Drosophila melanogaster: one gene and its partner. The protein of the gene in region 2 purifies or fractionates together with the protein of the main gene of each other region. This does not show direct contact. Each region holds a gene or a part of one and is shown on either strand. Other genes may lie near its edges.

What was found.
Region 1: the proteins of dimm (region 2) and sqz purify together in Drosophila melanogaster (affinity purification with western blotting; one study listed by BioGRID). This does not show direct contact.

The regions. Positions count from the first base shown.
Region 1 is NT_033777.3:19,162,376-19,170,371, reverse strand, and holds the start of sqz (squeeze), read right to left. Parts: upstream 6,162-7,996; 5' UTR 5,456-6,161; intron 2,528-5,455; 5' UTR 2,338-2,527; coding exon 1,984-2,337; intron 1,804-1,983; coding exon 550-1,803; 3' UTR 1-549. UniProt on the Drosophila melanogaster protein: Transcription factor involved in neuronal fate specification. First required in embryonic CNS development to define the number of cells that express apterous (ap) in the ap thoracic cluster of interneurons.
Region 2 is NT_033779.5:21,329,751-21,334,960, reverse strand, and holds the start of dimm (dimmed), read right to left. Parts: upstream 3,206-5,210; 5' UTR 2,935-3,205; intron 1-2,934. UniProt on the Drosophila melanogaster protein: Transcription factor that regulates neurosecretory (NS) cell function and neuroendocrine cell fate. Acts as a master regulator of common NS functions such as Phm expression and neuropeptide production.

The DNA of each region.
Region 1 (7,996 bases), on a different chromosome or scaffold from region 2:
ATATATAAATATATCATTATAATAATAATATAATTAGGTTTATCGCTGTACTTTGTACTGCTCCTAGTAGAAAATAAAACTGTGAACTATTTATAATCGAGTTATTTGTATAGTTCAAGGTTTTAATTTGAATATTGCTTATAGATATCTAAAAGTGTGCATAATTATCGTATTTAAAATCCTGAGTTGATCTAGATATTACATATTACTTTCATATGGCAGTTGAAAATAGCACAGAAACTGTAGGATTGCAGTTGATTTTCTTATTGGTTTTGGGCAGTGATGGAGTTGATTTTGGCCGAATCGTATACAAGTTTCATGATGAATTTGGAAGTTGGAAGGATGCTTAAGAAAAACCAGTCACAATCCCAGCTCCTATGCCACTGCCAACTGGAAACTATGAGTAACTTATTTTACTTTCAGTGTTTCAATTGGTATGGATTCAAAGAGAATAAAATACCACGCTCTTGTATCCATACCAACTTAAACGTTGATCCTAAGCTAATGTCATCGTTGCTGCCTCTTTTGGCCCCGACCTGACGGCCTGTACTATTGCGCCTTTTCTTTGGCGGCATTAACAGCGCTCAGGCCCAAGGCGAGATGATCGCCAGCGATGAGACCCGCCGCTCCTGGCTGATGGGCATAGTTTCGGATCTGGTGAAGCGAGATGAGCTGTGTGGGAAAAGCCGCTGCTGCTGCCGCCGCATTCTGCTGATACAGATAGGCAGCGGCGGATCCTGGCGGACCGCGATGCTGTTGAAGATGTGGCGGTGGAGCCACTGTCGCCGACAGTGGAGTGAAGGCCGAGTTTCCCGGTCCAGGCGATGGCTGGTGCTGCGCTTGTTGTTGCTGCTGGGCCTGCTGCTGTTGCTGCTGCTGCTGTTGTTGCTGAAGGTGATGTTGTGGTGTTGACTGGCGCAGGACGAGATCCTCGCCCGCGGCCTCCTCGTGAGGACTATGCGAATGCCCCGGCGTGTCTGCCAATCGCTGATGATGCAGCAGTTCCTGCTGCTGTTGCTGATGCTGCTGCTGCAGGGATGCAAAGTTGCCATACGGCTGACCGCCGGCCTGCGGCAACTGCTGCTGAATGGCTTCCGCCAGCGAAGCCGCCGCACTGTCTGCGCCCATTTTGGCCCAATATGCGGCATTCACATCGTTCATGGCCTGGCGCTGCAAATTCAAGCCGATGCCGCTCGCCGGTACGTGCTGCTGGTGGGCAGCCACCTGGGCCGTGTGGCGATGCTGCTGCTTCTCCGCCTTCTCTGCGTGCTTCTGCAGATGTTTCTGAAGGTAGGTCTCTTGCGTGTACGATTTGCCACACAAATTGCAGATGTGCGTCTTCAGGTGCTTGGAGTCCTTGTGCTTGGGAATGTGCTCCAGCAGGGTCATCTCGTCGCTGAAGCACTTGTAGCAGGAGTTGCACTTGAACGGCTTGTCCGTCTGATGACAACGCGAGTGTGACTGCAGATTGGATAGCTGCGAGAAGGCCTTCGGGCAGCCGGCGTGCCGGCATTTGTACGGTTTGTCACCCGTGTGCGTACGGATGTGCTGCTGGAGATGCGACAATTGCGTGAACTTGCGCTGACATATCTCGCAGCGGTACGGCTTGATCCCCAGGTGGATACGCGTGTGCTGCGACAGGTACGAGGAGTTGGCAAAGGACTTGCTGCACGAGCCACACTTGTAGGGCTTGGCCTGATCACCGTCTCCCCGTCGGCTTTCCTCCTCAGGCGAGGAGCCGTTGCTGCCACTGCCGCTAGCGCTGCTCATCTGCTGACGCGGCGGCGATCGATTCGGGTCGTACTGGAAGTAGATAGAACGTTTTAAGGGTATCGTTTAGTATTAAGTACACGATGAATGGGTTACTAAAGCAAAGTCATATAATCTTTGACCGAAGAAATATTAAGATCGCAATTTAAGTATCATATCAGTAACATTTATATGCGTATGATATATTTTTTCAATATTGAAATAAGTGATTACCTTCTGTTCCTGCTGCTCGTGTGGAGTGGGCGGCGAGTTGGGCGCACTGTAGCTGACCTTCAGCTGCGGCGGGTGCTGCTGCTGTTGCGGGTGATGCAGATGCTGCTGCTGCTGCTGATCGGGATGTGGCTGCTGCTCCATGACCATTTGCTGTTGGTGCTGCACCAGGCCGTTCTTCAGCGAGTAGTCCAGTCGCTCAGCGACATTCTGCCGGAATTCGCTAATGTTGAAGGGCTTGTAGTCGTGAACCAATTGGGCGGTGGTCAGATGACCCAGCGAACGCAGCTGATCGATGGAGCGGTGCAGATAATCGCCGCTGGGGACGCCGTTCGGCGCCGTCGGCAGTTCGGCCATAAGCGGCGTCTGGTGGCCGCCAAGGGTCAGCGGGCGGTAGGCGATGGTGCGGGCGTCCAGTTTGGGGTCGTCGTCAGCGGCGGAACGAGCCTGTGCGTTACTGGCTAGTGGAAATATTGCTGCGGTCTTCGTCGCCGGGAAGTCGACACTTCACTGGCGGCGGGCTTACACAACTCGGCGCGTTTTTGTGCTGAAAGTACAGAAATATTGTAATTCTTGAATCCACAAATTTGTGCCCAGTCGGCACAAGTGCTTAAACTACTTTTCGATTCTGCCACTTGGCCGCTCCACTCCCCGCCGTTGGGTACATTAATTTCTGCACATTAACATAAATATGCATGAATTAATTAATTGTTTGTGAATTAAACGTGCTGCGCGCAGAAGGTACTGACTGAAAGCACAACTGTTGCAACCCAGTAAAAAGTTGCCAATGGGGCGCAAAAAGCGCAGAGAATTAATAACAATGCCGGGCAAAAAAGAGTTAGTCAACGGAAAAAATCACAAGATAAACAAAAAAGGCGCTTGCGGCCAGAAATTGTTGGTGACAACCACCAGATGGAAAGCGAAATGGAATCGCATTCTGGCCCGAAGAACCAAAATCGCGATTACTCTGTGGCCAGGTGACGATGGGCAGGCAAAAAAAAAAAAAAAAGCAAAAAAGGCAAAAAACGTCAGGGGCGCCAACGGAACGTGTCAACAACCTCGAGAACTGAATGCAACTACATCTCTGCCACTTTTTAGGGCGATGCAGCCGGGTTTCCAATGGACCACTGATGTTCTTGGTCTGTAAATCCCAAATGAATTACTTAAAATGTGGGATTTCCATGCAACAGTAAAAAACACATGAAAAGAATGTGTTCCAAACTTATATTAAGTCAAAGTTAAAAAGAATTAATAATATCTTACTTTAAATTACGCCAAAATGGTCAATTTTCTTAGAATATATTATCTATTTCAGAAGTTGTTGCTCGTTAAATCAAAACGGAAGCGTATTTGAAAAGAATACGTTGCGATAAAATGTAATGAAACTTAAAGTTTTTAAGGGCGTTTAAATATTTCAGCTGGGATGAATAATTGATAATTCGCTGAATAACAATGCGTCGCAATTATTGCTCAATTAAAAACATTAAATGCGTTGTTTTAAAAATATTTATAAAATATTAGTGCATTCATGCAAACATACGAATAATTTGAAATTTGACAAATACAAATAACTATAGTATCATTACAAATAAACAGGCAAAAGTCATTACTCAAATCTTTAATCATAGCTTTTATCTTCACTAGAAAATGTCGGTATTATTATGCGAATTGGGATTCAGTTTTGGCTTTTAACTAACTAATTTTAAGTCTCCGAAATATTTATAATGTGCATAAAACACGTGACTTTTGATACGAAATAAGGTTTTCAAACTCATGTATTTATGTCTGTAAAAATGTCCAAGTATTCCATAATTAATTTAAACAACATTGGTTTATGTGCATAACGCATTATAAGTAAATAGTTGCATATAAATCGCAAAATCAGGTCTTGTGAAATGGAAACTGTATTCTGAGCGCGAATTTGAATACGACCTTTTGGTCGGGTGGGTGTTGACGTCAGAGGTAAATTCAATTTTTGGCTTTTTTTTTTTTGGTTTTGCCTGGTCAAAATAACCGGTTCTGCCTTTGTTGTTGTTGTTGTTAATGCTGACGTTGGACAATTGAACAGCATGGTAGCAGGAATTCTGTGTAAAGATGGGGAGGGGGAGGGCGGCCATGTAATGCAGAAAATAAAAGGACGCGCCACTCGCTTGTTGCGCACATTTAGAGCGAGACGGGGCGACAAGCAAACAATTGTTTGCCGAACAAACAATTGTAATATGAAATAAGCGAAAGTGGCGAGCAATATAAAACAGAAGCCGGAATCGTAATCGCAACCGTGTAACAACAGATCCAGAAACACGGGAAATTGACCGCTCAACATAATGAATGCAAATGGGGAAATTGGGGATAAATAAACGCAATCGGTCAGTCCCCAAAAATACAACAAAAAAAAAAAGAAGAAAACCCCAAAAAAGAAAAACACGAGAAAGAGAAGCCCAAAAAGCGTATAAATAAAATGGTATACACAAAAAACCTACACACAAAAAACGAATCAACGAAAATTAATTGAGCGCGAGCAGCTGAAAACAAAAGAGAGCAAAGAGCGAGCATAAACAAACGAACGAGCGAGCGAACAACAACAACAGCGCAACAACCGCAATCGGACTGCTCTCTCACTCTCTTTTGTTGGGGGCGACATGTGTGCGAAAAAAGAAGCGAATATTTGATGAGTACGAAAAAAGTGGAAGATAAAAAGACATCGACACACAAACACAAATGAAAAAAAAACCGCCACCAAATGAATGGGAACGAGCATAAAAAGTCAAACAAGCGACTAAACGGAATGGTCAAGTAGTGCGGCACGACTGCAAAACGCTTTTGAAATTATTCTGGTTTAATTATTTGTTGACAGTCGCATTCGGCTTACAAATGTTTGGAGTTTAAAGGTTTTGACTTATTCCCCAAATAGCGAAGATTCGGAAATAAGGAAACAATAAGTATTTGACCAATGGAACACTGGACAAACACTTTGGAAATTGTGCTATTATTTTTTTTTTATAAAATAGGATATAGAGTCCTAACCAATAAATAAATTGTAATTCATTTGCTTTATATAAGTTTTTACATTAGGTAATTTTCAAGTAGCAATTAATATATAAAGGATATGCATATTAAATCGTTATAATTTTGTAATAGTAATAACTGTAAACGCTTTCATGTTATTTAACAAGGAAATCGCAAACTTTAAATCATTTTTGCAACATTTTTAAAAAAATAATGTCCTATAATCTTTTATGTTTTTCTCATAATAACACGTCAACTAATCATCGATTCGCAAAAAACCCCTCTTTCGAACAGTAAATATTTTGTTAAAAATGTGAATTTTACGGCGATCGTTTTCAAGTCTCACAATTATAACAAAAGCGACCACTGTGCGTGAGCGCGGGAAAGAGAAACAAACACCGCAATCGCAAGTGTGTTTGACCAATAAGGCAAATAAATAAAACATGCTCGTGCAGCGCAAAGTACTTACCAATTTGAAAGTGCCTTTTGTGTTCCGGCGTTCGGGTCTCGGATGCAGTCGCGGCCCCCTTTTTTATGTTTGTGGGCCAACTTTTGTTGATATTTTGGAGCACGTGTTCGCCGACTGATTGTGGGTGGGAGCCCGCCTGGGAGCTTGCCTGTTTCGCACACTGACACACTCACACACACTGGCGCAGGTGATTTGTTTGTGGTCTGCGGCACTCTATTTTCGTACTTTTGTTTGTTTTTGGGCACCCCTTGCGATTGATTTATTTAGCGAAAATTAGCGAATTTAGTGGGGATTTGCGTAGTTTGCTACGTTCTGCTTTGCCGTCGGGCCTCTCTTTCGCACACAGAAGAGACTCTCGAGTGGCAACAAGAAAAAATGGCCGCGCACGCCAAAAATACACACACACACCAACGCACACACACGGCAAGCTTATGTTTTTTTTTGCTTTTTCTGCACTTGTGCTTTTTTGCCCTTCTTGTATCGGACTCCCGAAATATTAGTTTTTTCAGCGACCAACAACGATTAATTGCATTTACAACGAACACGTTGCGAGGGGGGCGTGGAGCTGGAGCAGTTGGGGGCGTAAGCTCCGCTCTTCGGTTGTTTACGTCGCGGCAAACGCAAAAAAACACCAACAGAAGCAGCAGAACAGGAGGAGCTAGAATAACTGTTCGTGTTCACGACCGTCGAAAAACTGACTGAAAAAAAATCACAGCGAAGAGCGTCTTTTTTCAGAAGTTGTTTTTCGCTCTCTTCTCTCTCCGCACAAACGCACACTAGTGAAAAAGGCTTGTTTATGTTTTTTATGTGTGCGCTCTCACTCTCTCGCGCTCTTTTTTGTTCCCGGCGCCACAGAGTTTTTTTTCGGTTTCGGGGAGGAGGCGTGCTCTTTTTTTCGAATACCAAATTTAATTGGGCCAAATTCTGGGGAGAGAAAAACAAAAAGAACATATAATATCCTGCATCCTTTCTGCAGTGCCATTGCCCTGACTTTTGGCGGTATTTTCTATTTTTGGGAATCTGAAATTACAATTTAAGCTTTTAGCGAATCCTAATCTAGGAAACAGCAATAGTGGTACATAAGGTCCTCCGTGCTGGACATGATGCACATCACCCGGAACAGTGGCACAAAGAGTTTATCCAAAATATTAGGATGTTCTCCTGGCTGTATTGAAAATTCCGTGCCACTGGATCTTCGCCTATGAGCTGTTGAACTTTGTTACCATTTTATAACTTACACTTACATATGTATATTATTATAATCTATTATATAATATCAATGTTATTGTAATTATATTATTTTGCGCGCTGAATTCATGCCTATGCGATTCTATTGTATAAATATATATGTATTTATATATATGCATTTGTTAATACTTCTGAAAAAGAAAATGAAGAACTTAAATATCCGTTACATATTATATAATATTATTGATAATATTATTATAAGAAAAATATGTCTTGAAGATCAAATTGAAGATAAGAATTTTAAAGTTCCGGAAACTGATAATTATTTTATAACTCCTCATAATTTTTAAGGTTTTTTTTTTTACAAAATCAAAACATTTTTTGTTGTTTACCCTTGAAATATTTCTTTATTCACATTTTCTACATTAAAGTGCTGCGCCAAATATAAAATTTGAGCCTCCAAAAGAATTAAAAAATTTAACTTAAAAATAAAAAATATTAATTTATGTATATTTGAAATTAAGCAGCAGTCAAAGTTATTTTAGTAGTTTATTGATGTTTAGTGGGCTAAGATTGTTCCTGAGGGGAGTTCCGCTGTGCACCACAATGGACTGAAATGAATATTCCCGGATTCCTTCTTCATTTCCGCCAGCGGTTAAAACCTGCAAAGTGACAGTGTGTCAGTTTTAATAACTAAAAAGAAAGTGCAAGTATCTACCGATTCATTTACATGGATATCAGTCGTGATTTTCGAGGAGACTCTTTTCTGAAAGTCGAATTGAAAGCGTTAAAAGCCAATACAAAAGTTTCCGGGTGCTGGCTGATGGACTCAACGTCTGTTCTTCGCACCAAGGACATTGTAGGATGCGATCCTCAGCCTTGATATCGTCTATCAACTCCTGGGCAAACATAGAAAGGTACGTTTCCTTAAAGTCCTTAAAGAATAGCGTGCTTCATTTTAATATTTTTTAATTAAAGCAGCCGTACAGACCCCAAAACAAACGACACACCAGAAACAAATTGGAAAAAACTTGATTTAATTCCAATTTACCAACTTATGCACGATAAATAAAAGCATGATTCTAAATTTTGGTAAACCTCCAAGAACGCGCACACTTTGACATTTTAAACTGCGGCTTTATCGCGCCAAAATTTTTAACCATGAAAATATTCTTGTGTTGGCAATGCTTGAAGTACAGTAATTTTTGCTCGCAACGTATGGCCACACTGCCAATTTATTTGTAAATTTGATACCCTGTATGTAAATATATTGGATAGAACATATATGTTTTGTAGTTATCGTTGGCAAAATTAGAACAACCTTTACATTAATTGTAGATATTTTCAAAACAT
Region 2 (5,210 bases):
CCACATGACACATCACATAAGTTCTGCTTTAGGAATAAGATGAATTTCATACTAACATTCTGAAAGTAATAATTAAAGACGTGCAGAAAGGAAGAGGCACCTAGATAATAGTTAATGATGACGTGTATAATTTTTAGTGTTTTTACTCGCTGATTGTGACGTTTAATTCCCCGTGCACAGCAATAACAAAAGACTATGCTATAGTGGAGTTCCCCGACTATCAGGAACCCAGATATCAGAATACAATTAGAATGAAATAGGCGGTTTATGGGGGTTAGAGTGGGCATAGCAAAAAGTTTTGTTTATCAAATTTACAACACCAGCGAAAATATGAAAAAAGATCAAAACATTTTTCAAAAGCACGGGCGTGACAGGTTTGGTAAGTTTGTAGGTGTGGCAAAATGGGTCAACAAACTTGCGCTGCTTCTATGTCTCTAGAATCTGTATGCTTAACCTCAACCTTTTAGCTTTTATAGCTCAAGGACTGCTAGGTTCGGAAAAATCGAATTTCTTTTAATTTGAAATCTGGTATCGTTTGCCACGTCCAATTTTTGAAATCAGAATTTTCGAAAAAGATATAAAATCAAGAAGTTGAGGTTTTTTTTTTAAATCGCAATACCATTGTTTGTTCACGTTTGACCACCTTTTAGAATTTGAAAAAATGTATAATTTAGAAAATATATGACATAAAGCGTTTGACCATCGCTTACAACTAAATATTATCAATTAAAAACGTTTGCAAAACCATTATTATTATTTTCTTATCGTTTGCACACCCTTAAAACAAAAAAACTAAAAAGAAGTGTAAACTGCGGTTTTAGTAACTGATAATATTTTTTCACCAGATCGAAGGTGCTCTAAAAAATCGCGGTCGGTCATATGCAGCGGTTTGCACTGCCACTGACCACGAAAAATGCCCTCTTTGAACAAGAATTCGACTTTATTCGTTTAAAACATCACCAGATAGATATTGCGAGCCATTATAGTTAAGGCCATCTTTTGGTTTCATTTAGCGCAGTGCTGTACATCGTCGATTGCTTGTCTTTTGTAATGGTACAGTGGTGTTCACAAACTCTTGTGATTCTGTATATGGCTATGGATTTTGTATATAAAGAGCCTGAGTCGATGAGAACTTCGGACTTCTAAAAGTTTTGGGTTTGGTTGGGTTTAATCGGCCAACGCAGAAGTCAACAGCAGGCGTGTGATTTTCGTTGCCAAAATGGTCTCCTTGCTGATCTCAGGGACTTATGAGAATTCGGATCAAGGCTGTGCACAGGACAACTGCGAGGACGACTATTTTACTACATCCGGCGACGCCTTTTTTCGCTTCCAGAGAAGACACTATCATCGAGGTGCTTGCTGCTGAACCACGGATAAGTATTAGGGTTCTGGAAAAAGAGAGACCCCAAGATGCGATGCTTGCCGGACATCAATTGTTGTCACGTTGTTAGCTTCACTTTAATGTGTATAAGTATGTGAATTTGTGAAAGATTTTCATTTAGCAAAAGTAATGATTATTTAAAAGAGTTTTGGCTCGCGAACCGGTTCACCATTATAGGGCACTGTAACTACACGGTTCATGTAACATACTATATATCACCGTACTGTCTAGAAAAAAATCATGCTTGCGTAAGAGTGGGCGTGGCCAGAATGTTTAAGTCATTACGATTAAAAAATTAAGGTTTCATACCATCTATTTTAATTATATCGCAATGCAAAGATAAATGAAACATGTCCCAAAAATGAATTAAAAATTATGGCGGTTTATTTTTATGAAATAAAAGTTTACCCGCTTAATATTCTCTTTAATTTGCGAATACATCAACTTCTTGCTAAACTCTTTTGTATGTATACAATATACTTTTTTTGCCAAGAGTTGAGGAGTATAAAAAACATTTACCGATGAAACGCTTTTGCCGCATTGTCGTTGTTATGGTTATGCCCTTTGGCTTACCAGCATTTGACCCGGAACCTGCAGCAGCGTTTAAAGCGTGAGACAGACCAAGGAATACGCGGGACGAGAAATGTGCATTGACTTTGTTGTTAGAAACCGCGCACTTTGCAGTGCATTTATTCCGTCGTCGGTGTTGAATGAAACAAAAGTGTCGCTATTATTTAACGACAACAGCTCCTTGGACTTCAGACTCTTTGGGGTCTCTTAAGAAATGTTGAGAAAAGTGACATGGCTTAACACATCGGGGGTCTATTCAAAGGACAGATTTATAAATTCCATTTAACCGTTTCTTTAATTTGTATATCGCCTATTTTTATTAAACAATAAAACAGTATTTATAATTCAATTGGCTTTTAAAGGGAGAGAATAATTTTAACATTCGATTAGCCAACAGTAGATGAATAGCCTGAATCCAACGTATAATCCTAGAAAATTCTTGGACTCATTTATTTTGAAAACTTCCGCACAACCTTTAAATGTCATCTCATGGGAATGGTTAAACCATACTTCGATCAAGGCATTACAATAGAAATGTCTACTTCTTCCTTTGGAGACTTAACAGAAAATTTCACTTTCTTTGTTAGCGCTAAATAGGGGTTTGAGGATCTTAGCGATGCAACCTGCACCTGGTCTTGTGTAATATTTATTACGCTTTCTATTAAATAAAGCATACTTTTGTGAGCAATTGTTTGCCTTTTCTGTGCGGTCCACCCGCTAAGTTACAACAACGTATACTGCAGTTGACAAGTGTATGGGGAATTTTGTAAATGAAGTAAACTTATCCCAAGCCCGAATGACTACCGATTGTTGAAAAGAAATAAAATTAGTTTTCTATGCTTTCTTTTATTTTTCAATGGTTTGCTTGTGTAAGCTTTTCATAATTAGTCGGCTTTATTTTATAAGGTAAGTTTACTTTGTCAAAATTGTTGAACTCAACCCAACAACGCATTTCAGCCAGCTTAATTGTACTGACAACTTACATGTACTTGGATGTAATTAATCCACGATGTTTTTAAATATTTAAGTCACTTTTCAACAACTCTCACAATTCACGCTGCATTTCATTTTTGCTAAATATATATCGATCCTTGGCTATCCTTTTTCGTTTTCGAATTCTAAGCAATAGTATTTTTTAAAAACTTCCGCACAATTCGAATCAAATATCTCGGGAGCGCACAACGATTACCGGAAACGCGGAAGCGCTGGTGATGACGGCCACTTGTGGAATGGCTGAATGAACGAAGCGGTGCCATCGGCCGACCCGAGTCCAGACAAAAGACGAATCACAAGCCTGGCCGATGGGAGTCGAGTCGAGCAACAAGTCCACCCAGCAGAGGGGGCTGGAGCTTCCGCCCGCACGAGAGCCTGAGTCGAAACAGACTGGCGAATGGAGAGCAACTGAAAATACTCAAAAACGGAGTGGATTTCTGAGTCAGAGTGTTTTTTTTCGTATTTTCCAAAGTATTGAGGTGGCACCGCTGAAATTAGAGGATTATGTTATCTGGGGTCCTTTAATTAATGCCTGCATATTGACATTGCAGTCCGTACCCACGATAACTCCTTAATATAAATACTAAGTAACTGTTTGAATAAATTTTTTTTATATGAAAATGTTTACGAATGTATCTAATGCGAGTTCCGTTCGACACATTAAAGTGTAATGGTATTTCCTGCACTATTTTTAAAGTTTCATAGCCAAATGACTGCAAAACCAAGAAAGTGTTTGTTTTCGAACCCAAAATTAAATAAACTCAACTCGAAACTCAAATGCGAAATATTAAGTATTTATCAAACCAAAACTCCGTTGGCAGGGCATGACGTTCCTCTACTCACTCCGACATTATATCAATAAGTACTAGGTCCCATGAAAAACGAACGTAAAAACGTAAAACGAATATACCCTTCCCGGCACGTTGTCCCAGGCTAGCTCACACATACACAGATGCAGTTCCAACGCCACCACATATTTGCCCAACGGGGTGGATTGTGGCTCGGAGTTCCTAGACATGGACACCACGTGCTCAGGCTCAACTCCAGAGGGGGGTATTGAGCCATAGGGCAGGGGCACCCACAAGGGACTATGGGAAATTTTACCACTTTTTCTGACCAAAATGAATAACTCCAGAACGGAGTAAGATATTTGGTTTTTCTTTTCTTACATTGACTTATACTAGACCATATCTATGAGACTTCCAAAACTGTGGGCGTGGCACCACGCCTTATATTTAATTAACTAATTTTCGTAAAGGGAATTCTCCTTTATATAAAATAATACTAACAAAAACAAAAGAGAATGCTATAGTCGAGTTCTCCGACTATCAGATTGGGGAATAAATCATTTTTGGGGAATAAAATGAGAAAAAATTTCCAAAGTGTGGGTTTAACCGGTTCGGCGGCTTTAGGGCGTTAGAGTGAGCGTGGCAAAAATGTTTTTGTCAAATCGATAGGAATTTACAAGAATAATACAATTTTGAAAACATTTCAACATTTCACAAAATGCGGCCGTTTAGGCGGTTTTAGGGCGTTAGAGTGGGCGTGGAAAAATGGGTCAACAAACTTGTGTCTGTCTCTAGAATCTGTCTGCTGCATCTCAACCTTCTAGCTTTTATAGTTCCTGAAATCTCGCCGTTCATACGGACGGACAGGGCCAGATCTTCATACGGATAGTCGGACAGACGGACATGATAAGATCGACTCGGTTATTGATCCTGATCAAGAACATATACTTTATATAGTCTTAATCGCTTCCTTCTGACAGTTACATACTTTTCAACGAATTTATTTACTCTACGAGTAACGGGTATAATAATAAAACAAATCAGCAACAAATCAGCAACCGCCTTGTTGAACTCCTTTTTAGCATAAAAAACTTAACAAGAATACAAAGCTACAACATGAGGTACATTTCATTGATGGACTTTTTAAGTTAAGTCTTTATCAAACAAATGCTTTTGTAAGGAAATTTATATTTTACTCAATTTTGGGTACAACACGATTTTTTTTTATTTTGACAGTCACATAAACTTAATACACTTAAATCAGCTGCTTCATTACAACTTTTGTAACGGAGGAAAAACTTAACGTAAATGTTTTTGTAGACGCAACAGATGTTTTTAACAGCATATTTCTTTGTTGTTGCTCCATATATATTTATTTCTAAACATTGGTCAATTATGAATAGACTTATTAAATATTGCATTAATCGACCGACTTTCAGAAAATGGCTTTTAGCCAGAAAAAGTGGGTAAATTTCCCA